2 linked regions of the Drosophila melanogaster genome follow. The protein of the gene in region 1 interacts with the protein of each later gene in a pairwise test. Each region holds a gene or a part of one and is shown on either strand. Other genes may lie near its edges.

Region 1 (3,871 bases):
TATCGTTTTGCTCAAGGATAAGCCCGGTCTGAATTTCTACATGGCTCCCGTCATAATCATCATCATATTCTCCTTCTTTATTGCTCACATTATCCTCTCGCTTTTTGAGGTAGGTATTCCTTTACAATACGACCAAGCTTATGGCTAACCTATGACTCGTTAATAGATGGTAGTGGATACCTTATTCCTCTGTGTCTGCGAGGATAAGACCCTGAATGGTCGCTCTGGTCGTTGGGCACAGAGTAACTTGGCCAAGCTGGTAGGCGAGGAACCGCTGCAGCCTGGCGAGGAGCCGCCCATCGAAGTTGTTCAAATGATGCCCATCAACAAGCAGCCATTTAGTATTACCCGACTCCCTCAGTCCGATCCCGAGGTAGCTCCCATGTCGGCGGATTAGTTCTAAGACGCAGCTAGATGCTTTCGCTTTTGTATTCCAAGCGCAGAACCCCCCGAAACTCAACGCACATCTCATTAGGATGTTAATATTTATATACATACCATTACTCCGTCGCGACGTACAAAGCAGAACAGTGGGACTAATAATAACTGGTAATCTTGTCTATTGATATATTCAAACTTAGGATGCACAGTTTGTAAACGTATTTATAAAGTTTAATCGTTTTTGTATCTTAATGTAAAATGAGGTGTTTAAACCTTTTTCACGCGTTTAATGGTTCTTGCCTTCTTTCTTTCAATCACATCTTTCACGGCCTGCAGTTGTTTCTCCTTGATCTTCTTGGTCAGCGCCGATTTGGGTGTCTGTTTGGCGGCTTCCTCCTTCTTCTTTTTGGCTATCGCAGCCAGTATCTTGGCCGTCTCCACGGGATCATCGTCCTCGAATAGCTCATCGTTATCCATGCCATCGTAGGCTCTAATAGGTCGCGTGGCCTCGTGCTTGACCTTTTGCTCCACTCGGTTCACGTACTTATCCTTGGCAGCCTTCTTAAGTACCTGCCGCTGTTTGGATGGACTCACGTAGTCCGGATTCTCCCAAATGGTTTTGCCAGTGAAGGAACCATCGAATATTTTTACAGGATTCATCACGTAACGCGGCCCGACTTCGGACAAACCGCCATCTTCGGATAGAATCTGGAAATTTCTGAACCAGATGCGTTTGTCCAGGTAGGTGAAGGTGAAAACGTGATCGACGAAGGGCTGGCTCTTGGGATGATGGTTGGGCACGGAGTAGGTCTGCACGAACAGCTCCTTGAGCAGCTTAAGGTGCGGCAGCTCGTCGAATTTGGAGTCAAACGAGAGCAGCGGACGTGATCCCCGCAAGCAGTTTCCCGTCATCTTCAGTTCGGCCATTGTATGAATGTTTTCGATGAGGAATTTAGCGGATGGACCAGTCGATCCCGAGGTGTTGGATATCCACATGTACAGATCCCTTTTCCGGCGTCCCTCGAACAGCATCGCCTTGTTGCAGTGCTTCATTTCGCACATTTCGTTGACCACCGACAAGGTTTTGGAGCGCTCCATTTTGGATTCGGGTCGGTGGTGCGGCATTAGGGTCTTAATATCCTTCATTAAGTGCCGGTCCCGGTGGCTAATACCGCGGGCGGAGAAGACCAGCACGCGCTGTTTGTTCACCCATTTTTCCTGTAAATAAAATCCAGTTTTTAGTTAAGAAATTCGGGTTTAAAAAAGTCACTTTTCTTGCCTTTTTGGGCACCACATCATCTGACGATCTCTGTGGCGGCAGTGGTGGATTTTCATCCAGCGGCACTATCTCCAGCTGCGGCGCGGCCTTCTTTTTCTTATTCTGGAATTTGCGACCCATTTTTTGTAGTTTAAATAATTAAAAACAATTGAACAGTGCGAAGGCAAAACGTGGAGTGACAACAACCAGGGATGGCTATTCATTCAAAGCCAGGGCGTCAACAGCACGTGCACCCGAATAGTGGTATTTTGCAACACTTTATGGGAAGTATTTGAAAAGTCCGTAATTTTAAATCAAAAACTAGAAAAATGTAGGTAAAATATTTTTTAACGGTTTCTTTTATTTTCGTTAAGCTAAATAAACTTTTAAATTTTCATAATCTATAAATTAATTTGAAATTACAATTAGCATGACGTATAGCATCCGATAATTAGCCTCTAGCTGCTGACAAGGGATTTTCAATCATCTTCATCTTCAAGTCCGGGTTCAGGACATAGTCGACATCTGCTCTCATTTACGCCGTAATTCATGCAAAGTTCTCCCACGCACTCGCAACATCCGTCATGAAACCACCTGTAGCTGGTGGCTCCGGTTTTCAGGCAGGTCTGTCGACACTTATTCCAGGATGTGCACTGATCCAGATACAAAACGGTGCAATTTAGACCAGATCCTGGTTTTCCATTCGTTGAAAACGAGACCACGCTCCAATTGTATGTGTATCCATCGTTTGGAGATGAGGACATGGCCCTGAACAAGGCTGGCATTCCTTCGAATTCCTCGGTGTGCGATTTCTTTCGCATTTGTGCCATGTTAGCGAGGCCTAACTCTCCAAAGGATAGCAAAATGTAGATAGTCAGAAGTGTTTTCATATTGATTTGGAATATGCAACTGAAGTGTTGGCGCACTTACAAACGGTTTTTAAATAAGAATATAGTACAGGTAGTAGGTGGTATAATGTTTCAGGTAGAAAATCACTCACCAGCTGCCACTAAGGGCTTTATCTATTTTTATAACTATTACCTAAATGCCCGCAATGGCCCTTTTTGCTGACTTATTATTGGAAATTAATACTTTAATCCATGCAACGCAGTTGGGATCTTTAACATTCCGAGCTGTTAGAAATTACTTTATGAAATATGGATTTTTAAATGTATTTTATGCGGTTATAGTGTAAGAACCAGTTCAATCAAAGGAACCACAGCGTACACAGCCATCGAAACAGTTTAGACGTATATCGATCAGTTCACATCTCTATCTTGTCTGTATACGGCTGTGTGTCAAAGCGGCAAAAGCGAGAAAAGTCGAAGTGCAAATAATTTTAACGGAGCGGAAAAAATATAGATAAATCAGAACCATGTCGGACTATAGATCGCAATCGCGCAGTGGCGGGGGACGTGGCGGTCAGGAGTACTCGAACGACGACGATCCGCCGATGTCGCGTCTCTTCATCATTTGCAACAAGGCGCACACCGAGGAGGATTTCCGTGAAGCCTTCTCGCCATACGGCGAAATCGAGGATATCTGGGTGGTGAAGGACAAGCACACCCAGGAGAACAAGGGAATCGCGTACGTCAAGTTCTCCAAGACATCCGATGCTGCCAAGGCACAGGAGGAGATGAACGGCAAGACCATTGGCAAGATGGATCGCACCCTTAAAGTCCTGGTGGCAGCCAAGTAAGATTAGCTTCGAGAGTACTGGCCCAAAACCATGGTCTAACTCTTATCCTCCTCTTCCAGTCGCAATCAGGGCTCAAATAAGTCTGAGAACGAGCAGGAGAAGTACGTGAGACTCTTCATAGTGATCCCCAAAACAGCCACCGAGGAGGATATTCGCGAGGAATTCTCGCAGTGGGGCGATGTGGAATCTGTCACAATTGTCAAGGAGAAGAACAATGGCAATCCCAAGGGCTTCGGATATGTCCGCTTTACCAAGTGCGTGGCGAATGTAGCATTGCTAATTGTCCTAGCCATAACTAATCTAATCTCAATGCACAGGTTTTACTATGCAGCTGTGGCTTTCGAAAACTGCTCCGCCAAGTATAAAGCTGTCTTTGCCGAGCCAAAGGGTTCTACACGCACACAGCGTGACCAGTACGGCCGTCCCTCCGAGGACAATCCCTTGTATAGCAGCTCGGGACGTGGCAATTCCAATTTCAATGGAGGCGGTAGCAGCAGCGGTGGCGGCGGCAGCAACAGCTACAACAACGACTG
Region 2 (3,414 bases), on another chromosome or scaffold:
TGGGGCAGATTCTGGGGAGAACCATCGTCCATCGACGCTCCGCTGGAGTCATCCTTCAACAGATTGGTGCTGCACATCTTGCTCTCGGTGTAGATAAACTCGTAGTCCTTGTACAACTTCTCCAGGCCAATTTCCAAAAGCAGTTCCAGAGGCTCGGCCCCACTTAAACAAGGCATGGCCAGACGACGGTTGGCCAACTCGGTGATAATCTTGGCAAGTCGATTTTTGTTAGTAGGCGTGTTCTATGGGGTGAGGAACATGAATAATATGTGGTGGTTTGCATGCATTAGCATACTTACTACTATGTTACACCGTGCAGCACATTGGAAGAGCATACTAAAGGCAATTTTGAGATCCTTGTAGGAGTGGCAGCACTTGAGCAGCTCCCAAAGCTTATCGGTTAGATCCGTGAGCTGGCGAACCTTGGCCCTCTGCACCACATCTTCGATGTCAAACTCCGCATTGCTGATGCTATACCGACCTATAAGGCCAGAGACATCTGTCATTGTCTGATTAATGGACTCGCGCAGCTCGTCCATGTCAATGCCACTGCCACAACGATAGGTGGGATCCCGAGAGACGCCCTGCTTGACATCCGTGTGGTAGGAGACGATGTCCTCGCGTATGTAGACCAGAATGCGCAGCTGATTCATAAAGTCCTGCGTCAAAGGACCGCAGTCGCCCACGCGAAAAGTGTGATTCAAAGCCACATCGCAGTCGTTCAGGTTCACCAGGAGCGGAAGTGCAGCACTAGAGGTCCAGGAGCAGCGTAGTCTCATGTGGGGATTGACCTGGTAGCTATTTTCAATGAGAGTTTCATCCGGTGTCTTGCCATGATGGCGCACCAGGGCTTGCGAGGTTACTAAGTAAGCAGGGCGCACACCCTGGTAGCTAAGTATTCCCCTGGAGAAGTGCGTAGGGTTGAACTCGTACTGGAGCAACTGAGTCTGCCCGAGATCACTGCCGTCGCACAAAAACCACACGGATCCGAGTCCCTCGGCCAGCTGCAGGAACTCGGAGCACACGATGGACCTAGCCTTGTCCACGGGTATTCCGCGTTGATATTCCTCCTCCAGCTTCCAGGGATTCGAGTGATCCAGCTGCAGGTCGATGGACAAGTCGGCTATGGCGTCCACCAGGCAGTCGTCCTTCAAAGGACTTCCCGTCAGATCCAAGTCCGCAGAGCCCTCTTTTTTTGGGGCTGCCCTGGTGGGCGTGGTCCGGAGTCTCGCCACTGCTCCATTGCGATCCTCCTTAAAGACCAGCACAATCTTCTTGCCAGCTTCCGCAGCCCCCACCATGCTCACCAAGTAGGTGGGTGGCGCTCCATAGGTGATCGTGTATGACTCGCCACACCGCCGCATTAGCTCCGCGTAAACGTTTGCCAAGTTCGCAGAAGCCGACATTTTTGGAGCAAATTCGCAAAACAGAAACAAAAAGCGGCAGTATTTGAAAAGCGAAGCGAGAATTGGTTAAACGGTCACACAGCACTTCGCTTTTTAGTGCACCTCAATAATTTTAGCAGTAAGCCGCGTGAAGGTCACACTGCAACATCGATAGCCGATAGACTTAGGCCAGCAACAATCGATAATTCTTATCCCCGCACGTGTTGAAATTGTTTTCTTTTATTTGGATCAGATTTAATTTAGTTAATTCAGACATGTCGGACTTTGAAATGGAGGACAGTGCCTCGGGCTACGACTCAGGGGATAACTCAGATGCCGAGGTAAGTGAGGAACCGAAGAAATGAACACCCCGTATACCAAAATCTCCACTCTTTTCCTGCAGCTGCAAGCGGCATTTGAGCGAGGCGACTTGAAACCAGGCCTAAATGTGGAATTCAATGGCCAGAGAGACAAAGTGAACGATGTGGTAAGTAGCTAGCTGGATGCCCGCTTTTGAATCGACTAATCCAATCCTGCCCACATAGACCAAACTGCTGGCCAAGACAGAGGCTATCAAGATGCAACTGCCTTGGCTGGAACGCCTGGACATGATCAACACACTAGCTCCACTGGCGCCGGAACTCGCTGTACAGCTGGAGAAGCACGAGCAGAAGCGGGCCAATCTCTTCAAGGGCAACGCCAAGCTGCCCTACATTCGGCCCGAGGAGGATCCCGTCCTGAATGACTTCAAGAGGGAGATGCTCTTCCACCGACAGGCGCAAAGTGCTGTTCTGGAGGCCATTCCCCGCCTTCACGAGCTGGGCATAAAGACTCGTCGACCCGATGACTACTTCGCTGAAATGGCCAAGTCCGACGAGCACATGCAGAAGGTGCGCGCCAACCTGATGGCCAAACAGCAAGGACAGGCGAAATCCGAGCGCATCAAGCAGATCCGCGAGCAGCGCAAGATGGGCAAGATGCTGGCCAAACAGACCAAGGTCCAACGCGAAGCCGAGAAGAAGGACATGCTGGACAAACTGAAGAAGTTCCGCAAGGGCAAGCTGAAAAACCTGGACTTCCTGGAGGACGCCAAGGCGCTTGAGTCCAAGCAGAAGCAGTCAGCCGAGAATCGCAAGAAGCGCAACAAGAAGTTCGGCTTCGGCGGCAAGAAGAAGGGCCTCAAGAGGAACACAAAGTCCTCCTCCGCGGGATTGGATGGCGACAAGTCCTCCAGGCGCCAGCGGGGCGTAAAGGCAGGTGCTTCGGTCAACAAGCGGCTTGGCAAATCGCGACGCATTAAGGCCAAGGGCAGAAAGTAATCCCCGGGACTGCCGACTATATTTAGGTGACCAAACTCTAGTTTTATAAAGCCCCCAATCCTGTATAGATTTTTTAGACCCATAAATACATAACATTTTGTGTGCACACAGCCTTACTTTCGAAATGTGGAATACTCCGTATAGAATTTTAGAATTCCATGAGCAATTTTCATAAATTACATTTTTCTAACATCGTTTATTCTAAAGTGGACTATAACTATTACACGTTCTCCTTGTTCTTTCGTTTCTTTTTTAGTTTTGTGCTAGTTTCCGATTCCTCCGAAGAGTCCGCCGTTTTTCGCTTCTTTTTTGACTTTACTTGTTCATCAGTTTCAACATCCTGGGGCAGTCCTTCAGTTGCTCCAAGCCCTGCTTGCCTATCCGCTCTCTTGTCCTTCTTCTTTTTTATCTTCACTGGCTCTTCGACTTCCACACCGTCTTCCTCTCCCGGCTCCCGTGTCTTATTTTTTTTCCTCTTGATCTTGACGGGATCTTCTGGAGTTTGATGTGCTGGGGATTCCTTTCCTGCCTTCTCAGCCTTGTCTTTCTTCTTTTTCTTGGATTTTATGGGCTCTTCCAGTTGGGAAACCTCACATGCCTCGGAAAACTCCTCCGCTATGGATTTTTTCTTTTTCTTTGCCTTCGTATCACACTGCTCCACACTGTCATCAACTGACTCCACTGCTCGATGCTCGGTTTCAGGCGTAGTC

What was found. The genes of interacting proteins can lie anywhere in the genome.
Region 2: the proteins of CG11583 (region 1) and CG1542 interact in binary tests that used the Drosophila melanogaster proteins (3 or more experiments, as listed by UniProt).

What each region holds. Positions count from the first base shown.
Region 1 is NT_037436.4:4,280,950-4,284,820, forward strand, and holds CG11583 (uncharacterized protein), read right to left. Parts: upstream 1,869-3,871; 5' UTR 1,781-1,868; coding exon 1,661-1,780; intron 1,600-1,660; coding exon 649-1,599; 3' UTR 555-648; downstream 1-554. Other genes in the region: Ctl1 (choline transporter-like 1), read left to right, coding at 1-109, 167-397; srw (shrew), read right to left, coding at 2,119-2,529; CG1316 (uncharacterized protein), read left to right, coding at 3,015-3,334, 3,398-3,592, 3,656-3,871. UniProt on the Drosophila melanogaster protein: Required for biogenesis of the 60S ribosomal subunit.
Region 2 is NT_033777.3:31,211,884-31,215,297, forward strand, and holds CG1542 (uncharacterized protein), read left to right. Parts: upstream 1-1,574; 5' UTR 1,575-1,660; coding exon 1,661-1,726; intron 1,727-1,788; coding exon 1,789-1,872; intron 1,873-1,930; coding exon 1,931-2,704; 3' UTR 2,705-2,901; downstream 2,902-3,414. Other genes in the region: zwilch, read right to left, coding at 1-242, 300-1,406; CG15561 (uncharacterized protein), read right to left, coding at 2,925-3,414. UniProt on the Drosophila melanogaster protein: Required for the processing of the 27S pre-rRNA.